Linked DNA regions of Oreochromis niloticus. The protein of the gene in region 2 binds, or shares a complex with, the protein of the main gene of each other region. Links are inferred from orthologs where the notes say so. Each region holds a gene or a part of one and is shown on either strand. Other genes may lie near its edges.

Region 1 (7,366 bases), on a different chromosome or scaffold from region 2:
CTGTTGTTTGACATACTTTTATTTCTTGTACAGCTAATAGTATTTCACAAGTATATACAAAAAAAAGTACACATTTCCATCACAAGTCTTCAAAGTTAAGCATGAAAAATCTTGAGGAACCATCGTATAAAAGCATTAATAAATGTTGAATTTCAGATTTTGACTTAGAAAAGTAGCAGAAAGTTTCCAACAGTGAATTATGACCCTGTAATAAAAACTTGGATGGTTGCAAACAGTTTTGACCAGTCTCCTGAAGCAGTCTTTAATCCAGTGTGCCTGCAGAAAAAATAAAGTCAGTAAAACATATTCTGGTTCAAAACTGAGGCAATAAATTCAATACTAAGTGGAATACTGAATTTTGTGCATGTGACGAATTCAATCAGCATCGTAATGCAGACAACTTTAAAAGTTTATTTTTTTTATTTTTATCTTTGTATGGCTTACCTTCGAGAAATGCAAACTCATCTATGGCTTCTATTGCATTGTCTGCAGGGTCAAAAGAAAACAAATGATACAATATTATCACAATATTTTACTCATGGTGTCATATAATTGCGAATTAGCAACATTTTGCAAAATGCTGAGTATTGCAATGACGGATGTTGTGATTTATCACCTTTTTTCAACTGCAAATTATTTCCTCTAACTCTGTCAATCTGTTTTATCCAATAAGATAAAGTTATCTCACTTCAGTTGTCCTTTTTTTTGCTGCAAAATGAGATTCTCAAGAGAACTAACACTGTCACTAAAACCTGCCATAAATTTGCCATAACATGGAGTCAGTCGGTAAGTCATAAATGACATGCAATCTGTTTCTAATAATACGGCAAACTTTGTCAAAAATCACAAATAAGTCCAATCGAGTTGTGCTCATTGACATAGACTCCTTCAGAGTGATGGCAACATGTTGCCAATCTCTCTGCCTTTATCGATTTGATACCTCTGAACAAGCTCTCTGAGAGTGACTGTAGACAGACTAAGTCAAACTGCATCTGTTTGCAGAAAGCCTGCCTCCTATCAGGAGTGTTCAAAAATAGTTGTGAGTATGCAACACCTTCAAGCTCTGGGAAACCATCTAGTCACCACAAGTTACAATCAGTTTTAGAAATGTAAAAAAAGTGAATACAATCGCCATTTTTTTTTGTTTTGTAGCTGCAAGGAGCCTGTTGTCCTATTTTTACTTGTGACTGAGCCATTAGCTTGCTCTGAATTAGGACGTAGTGTGTCCAGTGTTGGATGTTTTTTTGGTTGTACTGATTTAATGTAAGTTTACTTAGCTAACATTATCTCAGGATTTTGGTGCATGAGATAAGCCCTCTTGTTCGTAGCATTCCTAGATTATTATTATTACAAACCATATGTCAAACACACAAACTAAACAGACACGGGTGCCTCAGGTAGGGACCGAAAAGTAAAATTGTTGCTGAAGACAGAACACAGGGGTGAGACACAGGGTATTTCTCTACTGAGTACAAAGCGACATGTGTAGCATGTTTTTGAGTTGTAATGTTGATATTTGAATCAGTCACAGAAAAGGAACAGGGGCCTAAAATTAAAGCACGTCCTGTTTCTTCAAGTCAAATCTCAGCGTGATGTAGCTGTTATTCTGAGAAATATGCACAACTGTCAAATTCAGGCTTATGAAGCAGGTTGTATAATTATCTTTGCGTAAGACACTGATCACCACTGGAGGGTGACTGTGTCTCTGTTAGGTTAGAAGCACACAGGCACAGAAAAGGCACATATATGAATGGGTGAAAGAGGCTTGCAGAAGGAAAGTGCTTTGATGTTCTTTGATAGAACAGGAAAATGCTATACAAGCACCAGCCCATTTTCTATTTATGCGAGTAGACTTTAAATGGAATAAAGCACATGTTTAATCCACTTACCCAAGTCTTTTCTTTGCAAAGTTTTCCTCTTCCCTTGCTGTGCATACACTAGAGCATCTTTGGCAATCATCTCAACAAACAACTCCTGTACAAAAAGAAATTCAAAAGAAATCATTCAAAATCAACCAGAGAAACTATCAGAAATAGATTTTTTTTTATTAACAGAAGCCACTGATAAAATATATTTGTGCTGAAATGCACCTGTTTTTGCACAACTGGCTGCTCCCTTAACAGTCACCACAGCAGATCATCTGCCTCCATGCCACCCGATCGCTAGCATGCTCTTTCACCGCATCAATGAACCTCCTCTAAGATCTTTCCTCTTTTCTTCTTGCCTGGCAGCTCCACAGTCAGCATCCAATATATCCACCATCTCTTCTCTGTACATGTCCAAACCATTGTCTCTGAAGTCTGTCTTTAACCCCAAAGCACTCAACCTGAGCTGTCCTTCTAAAACACTCTGTTTCTAATCTTGTCCCTCTTGGTCTCTCCCAACGAAAATCTGAGCACCTCCAGCTCTGCTCCTGCCGCCACCATCTCCAAACCTTACATCGTAGCAAGTCTCACTGACACCAGGTCTTGTAAACCTTCTGTCACACAGTCTCCCAACACTCACCTCCACCCTGCCTGCACTCTCTTCTTGACCTCTCTTGAGCACTGTTTGTCCCAGGTATTTAAACTCATCTACCTTTACTACCTCTGCTCCTTGCAGCTTTACTGTTACACCTGTCTCCCTCTCACACATGTATCCCATCTTGCTTCTACTAGCTTTCATTCATCTAGCATGAAGTTAGTTCAGTTTGACTCTAACGTTTTCGTTAGACTGTGCGTTTATTCCAAAGGTTAACCTAGACTAAAGTTTAAATATACTTCAGTAATTTCAGGTTGATAAATTTAGGTCATGGCTGATAAATAAACTAAAATGAAATATAAACATTTAAAAAATAGATTATTTACTATCTGCACTTAAGTTTGATAGCATCATATAGAGAGTCAGCACTCGTGTTACCAGGACCGGTTAGGATATCAGTGGTCTCACCGTGGCTTTAGCGATGATGAACACAGACTCCTGGCTGGCGAGGGACACGTCTGGGTCGGTCTTCATCAGAGCCTTGATGCGGGCCAGCGGGAGTTTGGACAGCCGGCTGTGGCTCACCGTGACTGGGCCCGTCTGCTGCTGGCCGCTGTCCTCCGCCTCGGCCCCGCGGGTCTCCTCCTCACTCTCACACCGGTCAGGGTCGTGCTCCGTTGCGGTCACAAGACTCGTCGTCACTGTTGCTGCCATTTTCTGATATTTTGCGCTAATTCTATGACTTAAGAAATAAACACACACGTAGAAACGACTACAGTTTAATAGCTACATGTCACAGATAATAACATCAACAACCGCAGCGGGCGCGCGCCAGCATGTGGTTCCGGGCTTTCGTGAGAAGGCCTGCGCTGATTCGTCAGTGAGTGCAGGCCCCGCCAACTAATCCTCTTCGGTGATTGGACAGATTGTGAATCCAGGCCTCGCTATTGGCTAAAGTTAAACGTCATTCACCGCACATTGCCGCCTAGATAGCGGGGTGTAGCCAGAGCCCTACTAACCAAGGGGTCGGAGTGTAGACACGAAGTCGCAGGTGAAGTTGGCCACAAATAACACTTTGCTATTGTATGGTTAAAATATATCGTTTTTATAACTTTGTAATTTTAGATTATTTTGTGTATGCGCTAAATGTTATTTTTTGTTACATTTCCCTAAAAGTGGGAAAACTCATCTTTACTCCTCAATATTTCCACTAGGGGGCAGTGGGAACAAACTATTAAAAACAACCCTGTACATCAGTACTGTACATCAATATACTCTATTATGAACTTGGTGAAATATAAATGGCTTATACAGACTTCAAGTCAGTAAAATTGCATTCATTTGAAGTTTTGTTTCTATCTGGTGTCCAGTATTAGCTCTACTTTTAATTATTATTGTTGCTGTTAGATTCAACGCACTGTGTGGATTCCTTCATCAGCTGACACAGAGGTCATCCAAGTGTGGCTGTGGTGTATGGCTATGGCTGAACACTTTACCATCTAATATCATAACACCTGCAATCTTTTTAAGCTCGCTGATTTTGTGATATTTAGAACTTGATTCATTTAAACTCTTTTTCTGGGCTCTCTTGTTATGTGAATACAGTATGATTAATCGGAAGCTGAAGTTTGCTCTTATGGTCTCATGTTATAGTCTTTATTAACTAATTCTCAGTTATTTCAGCTGCTGTTTTATCTGACAACAGTGTTTGGGTTTCAATTGAATGAATTCATAGATTCTCAGACATTCTTTTCATCCATATCTAACAATATTGGCATTTTATCCAATTATGGCATATATGTTCACATCATATTTTCTCCTGTGTAAAACTGAAAAAAAAAATTAAAAGTCTACAAAACCTCTATTTCAGAATATACTGCCGCTTTATTTTCCTTGTGATAGTTTCCCTCATATTTACCAAAATCTGCAATGCTTATGACTTTCTGGTAACTTGTCACTTTCACCGATGAGTACAGTGTTAGACCCACAAACCTTCTTCTTCTGCCTATATTAATAAAAACATCTTCCCTTCATATGCATTTTTAAGGAATAAATGGCAAAAAAGCCTGATGTAGCAAATAAGATAGAAATTAAAGCTCATATATGCAAATTAATATTAATTAATTTATTCTTATTTCATTAGAAGGTTCCCTAAACACTCTATTTCCAAAGAAAATTTAATTTTCTGGCAGTTATTTGAGAAAATCACTATATTAATATGCTTAATATGGTTCAGGCTTTAAAGTGTTAAAGAGCCTAAAGAGCTATTAAAGCTTAAAGCTGTGCATTTAGTAATCTGCTAGTTCTTTTATGTTTCTCTACGTGTTTGCGTGGGTTAGGGTTAGTTTTCCGTCTCTCTGTGTTAGCCTTGTGTCAGATTGGCAACCTGTCCAGGGTGTACCCTGCCTCTCACCCTATAGTAGCTGGAATAGGCTCCAGTCCACCTGCAATAGAGCATCTAAGCACATTAAACTCTTCTTACCTGAATATTTTAATGTATGAAGCTGTTTTCATTAGCACTTTATTTTATTCCAGAAAGTTATTATAACACTTTTTAGTTTTTATTTATTTATATATTTTTATATATTTTTTTTTAGAGCTTGACGTTGCCATCTGACAAACAATAAATATGGTCTAATGAAAAGAACGCCCACTAGCTTGCTTTCATGTGTAAGTTACATGAGCATTATCATCAGTAGGAAAGCGAGGCATGCTTATTTTTATTCTTTGAAAGTATCTTTGCAGCATTTCCATTGTGTCAGGTCATGTCAGCAGTCCACTAATACACTCTGTTAATAGGATTGTGAGGACTGCTTTAGTCCACTGAAGCTCCATTCACATGTTCAGCCACAGTCAGGTGTTACACTCTGAGGAAGAGATATGAAGGACTCACAGCTCCCAGGTAAAATATTTTAGTTTTATTACTGTTAATGATCAACTAATGTGATTTGTTTCTTTTTCGTGTTGTTTTCAGAATTAGATGTACCTTTTTAAAAAGTACTTTAAATCATCTGTATAGAATCTCTTATCAGCTGTAGCCTTGGTGATTAGTAAGATTTAGAAAACCCATATTTGGATGATTTAAAATTTTATTCTATTTCAGAAGTGCCAGATTGGCAACTGAATATAGCTCCACTCTTATATGGGAATTTTCCACAAAAGATGATTCAAAGCTACTCATTAAATCTCATTCATTGCTATTATTTTTCACAGTGACTACATCGCTCCAGTCATACAAGCAGTTACATTTACAGGTAGATTTAACAAGAATAATAGAAAAGCTGTTTCACATGGATCCAAATGCTGATAATAATCATCTGCCTGCTCAGTTTCATACGCAGTGTGGAAGTGTAATCCTAATTTGGCAGCTCTGTTCATTCTTGTTCTGCCAGTCTAGTCTTCATTAGCATCCTATAAATAGCTGTCTGCAAGCTAAATGGCTCTAATTCTCCATCTAAAAAACCCAAGTAATCCTCGGCTATATTTGATCGACAAAGTCCAAGAGGAGGAAAAACATAATCGCACTGTAATGTTTAATATTTGTTTATTATTATTGGTAATAGTTGACTGGCTGGTTCATTTTGCTCACAGTCATTTTTGAGAGGTTATGCGTGCTCTCCAAGATGCCCACACAGGATTCAAGTAGCCAGTCTGGCACCTGACCTGACTGTCGGGTCAGATTTGAGACTCTATGCAATGCTCAGACTGTACTGCACAATTTCCTGTAAAAACAAAAGAAACACCGTACGAGGCAATCGTTCGAGCCAAACCATTGTTCTGTTTGAGAGAAATTTGTACACTATCAAAAAAAAAAAATTAAATTAACATGCTGATTCTTAAGAACTGCGTCCAAAAAATGAAAACTTCAATTCCCAGAGCAGAAAAAACAGGAACGGTCAACATCCTGCTTTTGTCCATTAAAAATGAAAACGGACATATTGAAATCCATTTACCATGATCCAGAAATCATGTTTCCTGCATAGTAATCACAACACTAACCCCGCAGAGGTGCGGTGTTGAAAGTATTTTCAGAAACGGTGTGAGTGGAAGCTCTAACCAGGAGAAGAGATTCAGTTTTATTCATTTCAGATTATACTTTGTTTTTGTTCTCCTAAAGCAAAAGAATATAACATTAGCAGATGAGTGATAGCAAAATAAATTAAAATCCAGTTTGCCACATTCTTGTCCATCATAGCATCATTTTCAATAATATCCACTGACAGTTTAAAAGTGCAGATAGAAACTAGGGTTAAATTTAGGCAGAATACAGCCTGACGTTTTGACTTATGTGGGATGTACAGTTACATACCAAGTAAGTTGGCATTGAGGTCAATCTTATTATCCATGTCCCATACAGCTCTACTTACACAACTTGTGTGCGCACTGAGTTTTGCACACACAAAGGTGTTTGTCTAAGAAGCGATGTCGTCTCGGTCTAAAGGAAATCCTAATATTTCTGCTATTTCACACAGCACTGCTGCAACATTTTCACACTATTTTTGCTTTTACTTCCAAGCCATCAAAATGCGTCTGTGGCCGAAACAGAAAACAAGCAAAAAATCCAAAGATGACTCTCCGAAGACGCAAAAACCAGCCAAGCCCCTGGCTTCTGCTGCCACGTGTGCCATCCCGCAGCTGACTGACGCAGAGAGGATGAAGCAGTCTCCGTTTGAGAGGATCGTCTATGACATGACCCACAACGAGAAGATCGTCAATGACCTCGTGCTCGGTAGAAGGGTCGGCTTTTACGAGCTGCGTGGAGAAATCGGGCAAGGCAACTTCTCTACAGTTAGGCTGGGCATCCATGCCTTGACGAAAGGTAAAGAACCATCAGTTATTTAGGATGTTGCGTCCCAGTTATTCAGTCACCGTTAGTCATCTTTTTTATGTGTTTCAAACTCATTCC
Region 2 (7,353 bases):
CTATCCTAGTTTTTGTAAAGCCTATCTTTCAGGCCTTGCTTGGGCACATGCACACACAGCGACCGGCAGTGAATGAGAGCTTGGTGTCCTAAGTTTTTAAGTTTTCATCGTTTCTTTTCGTTTCTATTGCTGGCATTGAAGGGATGCCAAATGCTGTCATTTTACTGTAAAGCAAATTTACCTCGCCTATGGCTATAAATAAAGTTACCTTGACCTTGACCTTGACACTGTAATGAAAGCCTTCAGTGAAGTCCCATATTTGAATATACATTAATAAAACAAACTTAACTCTGCAAAAGACAACTAATGACAATGTCTGAATGGTCTATAGTTGTATTTGAGAATAATGGAAAATAAAATATGTAAAGGACTTTATAAATAGGAAATTCTTAGTCACAAAAATGAAAAATAAAATGCTATTTTTGTTCAGCTTTCATGCTGGATTGACCAAATATGACATGTCGGACCATAAAAAACAAAAATATCAGTAGATAGTCTAATCGCAATAGAACTACATTCTGGAGTTTCCAGGTGGTACATTAAGTCTATCTGAGAGAATAATTTTGTTAAATATGTGGAGGATTTTAATTATCAAAAACCACATACACTTTGTCCTGGATGAGTCTGATAATTCATGTTAAGAATAAAATTTATTAAGACGCATTAAAAAGACAACAAGTAAGGACATAATCTTCTCTGAACATGCAAATAAATGCAGTAAATCAATTAAGATTCATTAAGCGGAATGAAAAATGAATTCTTGGTTCATATGAAACATTGTTGCATTTTTTTAAAGGACTGCTTTCATGTTTTATTTTTTATTTTTTAGATTTTTCCCAATTTTTCAGTGTAACTTTCCCAAATTACAGATCCTGACTAATTTTTAATGGCAGGAAAGGCCACTATCAGGGTATAAAGGATTGTGATACATAATGCAAAATTTTCAATTTCCAGCATTAAATTGTTTTTTGGAAAATATGGTCAAGTAAAAGGTGATTTGAGATTAAATGACCCCAAAGAAATATGGAAAAAAAGACATTTCTAGATTTTAAAAATGGGATAGACTGTTTTAACTTGCCATTTCAGGGCAAATGATGACTATAACAACTAAGAAAACAACTAAGTAATTGCTTTTTTCAGCCATTATTATGTTTTAATTGGGCAACTGTTCATATACTTAATGTTTAAGACTATTTTTTAAAAGATCACTATTATCACTATTAAATATTTGTCTTTCTCCAAGCATTGGAAAAAGCACAATTCTTTTGATGTCCAAACTTAATGAATCCCCATAAAAAATAAACTCCTCTTTAAAGCATGTTAAAATACATCATGACTATAAGAAAAACTGAAATACTAAGTCGTGTTTGTCTCTGTGTACTGTTTAAGTTGCTGATTTGAAGGTCAGAGGTCAGACACTCTCTCAGGACAGCAACACTGAAGTTCTTACTTTCATATATTAAGTAAATTATTCAGTAAATTCAGTCAAACAGAAGTAAGAATAAGAGAAGTAATTACAATCTCAGAGGTCACGTGTATACTTTAGGTGACTAAGTCCTATGCATACACACATGAGTGTGTTATCTATGACAGCTGGACCTGGCTGCAGGCTACATTTCCCAGCGAGAGTCCTGTAAACAGCCTGCCTGTAACAGCTGACATGGAGAGCATGCGCTGCTTCATGTGGGGTAAAGGTCAGCACTGAGGGAATGAAAGGAAGGGAAGTTCAGGTGAAGGAGGATGGGAAAGAAAAAAAAACATCCATAAAAAACAGCAGCAATAGCAGGAACACTTGAACACATCCAAATACAGAATCTAAATTAGACACATGCGTTCTTTGTCCCATTGAAAGATTTCATTGTTTATGTTTTTTTTTAGATAAAGAAAAAATATAAAGATTTATTAACATCCAGTCTGTATAATAGAAGCACAAAATTAGTGAATTTATCCTTTGGAGCAAATTTAAAGCTGACGCAAAAAAGGAAAAGGCTAAACCGTCACTTTCCTCGAGAAACAACAAGATCTGAAGGAATGTATTTATGAAATAGCTTTACTTTTCATTTTTATCTTTATTTTCTTAATATATATCCTGATACCATATAGCAGATGAATTATTTCTCTTGTGCTTTTCCTTAAAGAACAGACTTATTCTCACATGACTCCCTGTTTTAAATAAAAGTTAAGCACATCAATTTTTTATAGGAGTTTTTTTTTTTTTATGTCACTTTTAAAAAGGTGCATCCAACTTCTGGCGTGAACATTTTACCTTGTAAACTTACAAATATCTGTGAACTCTGACAGAAAAGTTGAACTAAACACAACAACTGATTCTGCCTGACATAAAAGTTAAATCAGCCCACTGATCTGATCTTTTCCAGAGTTCAGTCTGGAGAAAAACGGGACTGTCTTTTAAGTTAAAGTTAACGTGTAAATCAAAACATGCCATTGTCACTCACCTGCACACACTCAGAAACCGGGCAGCTCTGCTCCCGGGTTGTTGATTGCGTTGTTTCACACAGCCAGAGAGCAACAGTACCAGGCTAACCGATTTAAACCCACTGATTATTTCCCACACCTCCACACCACTCGGAACTTATCATGAATTAAAACACATCCGTCATTATCTTATTAATGTGACACAGACCCCAGAATCCCTCCAAACTCTACCGCTGCCAATGTCTTTATGATTATAGACAGTGCCTCGCCAGCAGCTACAAATGTCAAAGTCACCTACCACTACCTCCACTCCACAGCGGGAGAGTAAACATGTGCGTGGGGAGGGGGTTCCTCCCAGAGTTAAGGGTTCCTCTGAAGATCGTGTATACTCGAGATGTTCCTGCTCGATAGAAATCAGTAAGCATCTTCCGATTAGCGGAAAAATGTTTGGTTCGTCGGTCTTCTGTTGAGTTCATGAACAATGGGAAAAAAGTATACTTGAACTTTAAGACCGTTCAGTTCATATTAAAAAATCAATGTATCAACAAGCACCTTTTTTTTTCAAATAATGGAATCTGATTGATATGATGCCCACCTTTGTTTTCATTTCCTGTTTATTCTGTATTATGTGTGTGATGAACCTTTCCAGGAGTTGTCATCCTCCAAGAGCACCCAGAACAGTTAAGGTCAGTGATCACGATTCAATAATAAGAAAGAGACTAGGCAAAAATGGCACCCATTTTTGCCTAGTCTCTTTTTGCCATGAGGCACCCACTTCTGAACAAAAAGGACACAAAGGCTCGTCTCACATTTGCCAACAAAAAAACAGCTTCCCTTCCCAGATCCCTGAGATTTTTGTGGACTGATGAGACAAAAGCTGAACTTTTTGAGTCCCATTACACCTGCTGTAAAACTAACATAGCATTTCATAAAAAGAACACACTCAACAGTCAAACGTGGTGGTGGTAGTGTGAACAGCTTTGTTGCTTCAGGACTTGGAAGACTTGCAGTGATTGGTGAATCCATGAATTTTATTCTCTACCAGAAAGTCCTGCAGGAGAATGTCTGGTCATCAGATCATGCCCTGAAGCTCAAGGCTGGACTTGGATTATGCAGCAGGACAATAATCGAAAACACACCAACAAGTACACAACTGAATGGTTAGAAACAAAGAAACATTTTTTTTTAGCTAAATGAAGTTTTTGGAGAGACCGTGCCAAAGTCTAGACTCAAATCTGATTGAGATCCTTTCGCACAGTTTTTTTGTTTTTTGTTTTTTGTTTTTTAAGTCATGTCATATATGATATCATAGGTAATATGTGACAGGGAAGGCTGAATTTTACCAGGAAGCAGTAGTCTACCCAAAAAACTAGTAGTCTACCCAAAAAACTAAAATCAAAGTGTGTGTGTATATATATATATATATATATATATATATATATATCACGTAAACACTTTGCTTTCTAACGTTTTTTTTATTTATTTTGTTGTTGTTTTGTTTTTTAAAGGCACATCTATGAGCCCCAACGTTACAATGAACATGACATTCAACCTAAATAGATACGTCTCAACACCACCGTGAGGGATTCATCTCCCTTATTAACGATCTTTGTACTTCCGGTTCTCAGCTCCGTCCTCTCGCGGCAACTGCAGGAACGCGCCAAAATAGGAAAACAGCAGGCGAGTCTGTGACAGGCGCAGAGAAATCCAGCAGACAAAACTTTGAAATTAAAGCGACGTGTCTTCAAATGCGGCTTCACGCACACATTTAGCTGTTTTATTTTAGTGTTTTGTAACCAGAACATCGCGATAGAAGATGGTTCTGCAGAACAGTGGACGCTACAAAGCGGACCGAGGACCGAGTGGGGATCCGGAAAGCCAGTAAGTCCAGCAGCTCAAAAACTTCATAACACTTTCTTATTCAGAATATTAATGGATGACCGAGGACTGTGAGGATTTAGTGTCACTGTTGCGTGTGTTTGAACCAGGGATGATGGATCCTCCTTATCGGCCCTCAAGCGGCTGGAGCGCAGTCAGTTCACCGACGAGATGGACGCTCGCTTCGGATTCGACAGGATGAAGGAGCCGGGAGAGAAAACGGGCTGGCTGATCAACATGCACCCCGTGAGTCCTCGCAGTGAGACAGTTTTTACTTTCTGTCTGCTGCAAAATAAACACTTAACATTTATTTTTGATGCTCTGCATTTGTAGGCAGAGATCCTGGATGAAGACAAGAGGATGATCAGCGCGGTGGACTATTATTTCATACAGGAGGATGGAAGCAGGTTCAAGGTGTGTTTGGGGGGAAAGCAGAGTGCTGTAACGCAGCTTATTAAATGCCCTGCATTTTACATTTTCTCTCATGTATTCTGTCTGTGCTGTAGGTGTCTCTGCCCTTCAAGCCATATTTTTACATTGCGACGAAAAAGGTAAGTTAGTGACTGTGATTATGCCAAGTGAACATGTTTTTTAAAAAGTAATAAATAACAAAATGTGTATGTCCAGAACTGCGAGAGAGAAGTCATCTCATACTTATCTAAGAAGTTCCAAGGAAAGGTGGCAAAGCTCGAAATTCTCCCAAAAGAAGACCTGGACCTGGTGAGAGTTTCAACTGACTTTAAGTTATCTAATAAATAAATAGTTAGTAAATAAATAAGTCAAATAAATGTAGATAAATAAATATTTTCTATATTTATTTACACAGAATTAATGAAGGAATAGTTGGCAGTTAATTAATGGATGATTTTTGACAAGAGCGCCACCACAACACATTTTCAGTCATATAGAAATCTAATCTGTTTATGTATGCTCACCGGACACTTCATTAGATATGTCTCACTAGTACTGGGCTGGAAGGCTGGATGATCCATGCTTTCACGTTGCTTATGTCAGATTCTGACTCAACCATCAAAATGTCGTATCAACGAGGTGTACTGCCACTTACTGGATATTTTCCCTTTTTTTTGGACTATTCTCGGTAAACTCTAGAGATGTTTATGAAGGTAAAACTCAGCTGATCAGCAGTTTATGAAATACTCAGACCAGCCTGTTAGGCATGGCACGTTCAGAGTCCGTTAAATCATCTTTCCTCCACATTCTGATGCTCAGTTTGAACTTGAGCGGGTCGTCTTGACCACTTCTGCTTGTTTTTATGCATTAAGATGCTGCCATGTGATTGGGTGGTTTGTTTCAGTGAGCAGTTGAATGGCTGTACCTAAGAAAGTGGTCAAGTGAGTGTACGTCTTTTAAGAAAAATCTAAAAAAATATATCCTCTTACCACTGTGGCACTCTTGTCCTTAGTATTTAAAAAAAAAACGGCTCTTGAATATCAGTGTTTTTGAAGGTATCATGAACCCTATTGGCTGCTAGTGTTGACTTTGTACAGCCAATCACATGCTGATTCTGCTGATCTGGTCTCTCCAGCCAAACCACCTTGTCGGACTGAAGAGAAACTACATCAAGCTGGCGTTCAACACCGTGGACGACCTCGTGAAGGTCAAGCGTGAGATTGCCCCGGCGGTACGTAAAAACCGAGAGAGGGAGCAGTCCAACGATGCCTACACCTCAATGTTGTCAAGGTATCACCGAACCTTCGATCCCGTTAGATTCCTTTGATGTTCCGCCTGACGTTTCCAGCTTTATAATAACTCCCGGACACCTTTTTGTCCTTTTAGTGCGCTATCAGGAGGCAACGTGACCTCAGTGGATGAAGACGGGATGTCAAAGAGTATTTCAGATCAGTTAGACAACATAGTGGACATGAGAGAGTATGACGTGCCTTACCATGTGCGTGTGTCCATTGACCTCAAGATCCACGTGGTAAGATCAACTATATCTGGTTCCAGTGTTTTCCAGTGAAATGTTCCTCTACACCTGTGCGTGCTCTTCTTATCTTTACTGTCTTTATTTTTCAGGCTCACTGGTACAACGTTCGATACAGAGGCAGCGCTTACCCGCCAGAGATTGTACGGAGAGACGATCTTGTGGAGCGACCGGTATCAGGATTTTGTTGTTTTAAGCCTTCCATCATCCATTCAGAGTTATACAGAAGTTTTGATTTATGTCGGGGCTTTTCTGTGAAACGCTGTTTCCCTGCAGGACCCCGTTGTTTTGGCGTTTGACATCGAGACCACCAAGCTTCCGCTGAAATTCCCAGACGCGGAGACGGATCAAATTATGATGATCTCCTACATGATAGATGGACAGGTGAGGTTCATTTGCGTTTGATTTTTAAAGTTTTTGTTATGATCCTGTTTGTAATATCATCTAACAATCCTTGTGTTTTCACGTAGGGGTTTCTAATCACAAACCGAGAGATCGTCTCTGAGAACATTGAGGATTTTGAGTTTACCCCCAAACCTGAGTATGAAGGGCCATTCACTGTTTTTAATGAGGACAATGAGGTATGTAGCCACTAACAATAAAGCATTGATGTATAAAAGGCTGCTGTGTGTTTCTGTCAGTTTAATAACACGCTGTAACGGTTGCAGGCAGCTCTCATTCAGAGGTGGTTTGATCACGTTCAAGAAACAAAGCCAAACATCTTTGTGACCTACAATGGAGACTTCTTTGATTGGTAAGCCTATTTCCTGTTTCTGTAAAAGCCAGTTACTTACTTTAAAGGTGAAGTGGGTAGAATACATTACAGGCAGTGGCTGCAGTGAACACTTTATTATTTTTAAGTCCTTGGTTTCACTTCAGCTCAAGCAAAAGTGACCCAAGCACCAGTTCTTTGTGACACTCGTCCCTGGTGACAATAAGCAGCTACGACATAATGATGAAGCTGTTAATAGTGAATTATTTAAACTGTTGATTATATTAGATATTCAATATTTATTCTTATTCTGTTTGTTATACTGATTACTTTTCTTGATCCTCCACCTCTCCTCATACTGTTTCTCTCTAGGCCTTTCATT

The links.
Region 1: pole (region 2) and pole4 share a complex: the UniProt entries of both Homo sapiens proteins name them as parts of the DNA polymerase epsilon complex. The link is inferred for Oreochromis niloticus from reciprocal best matches to the Homo sapiens genes POLE and POLE4.

The regions. Positions count from the first base shown.
Region 1 is NC_031986.2:41,693,000-41,700,365, reverse strand, and holds pole4 (DNA polymerase epsilon subunit 4), read right to left. Parts: upstream 3,314-7,366; 5' UTR 3,175-3,313; coding exon 2,929-3,174; intron 1,975-2,928; coding exon 1,890-1,974; intron 487-1,889; coding exon 445-486; intron 277-444; coding exon 263-276; 3' UTR 2-262; downstream 1-1. Other genes in the region: serine/threonine-protein kinase NIM1, read left to right, coding at 6,883-7,279. UniProt on the Homo sapiens protein: Accessory component of the DNA polymerase epsilon complex. Participates in DNA repair and in chromosomal DNA replication.
Region 2 is NC_031977.2:17,883,386-17,890,738, reverse strand, and holds the start of pole (DNA polymerase epsilon catalytic subunit A), read left to right. Parts: upstream 1-4,067; 5' UTR 4,068-4,252; coding exon 4,253-4,317; intron 4,318-4,424; coding exon 4,425-4,560; intron 4,561-4,647; coding exon 4,648-4,728; intron 4,729-4,820; coding exon 4,821-4,865; intron 4,866-4,941; coding exon 4,942-5,034; intron 5,035-5,860; coding exon 5,861-6,015; intron 6,016-6,111; coding exon 6,112-6,256; intron 6,257-6,351; coding exon 6,352-6,432; intron 6,433-6,535; coding exon 6,536-6,643; intron 6,644-6,729; coding exon 6,730-6,840; intron 6,841-6,927; coding exon 6,928-7,013; intron 7,014-7,343; coding exon 7,344-7,353. UniProt on the Homo sapiens protein: Catalytic component of the DNA polymerase epsilon complex. Participates in chromosomal DNA replication.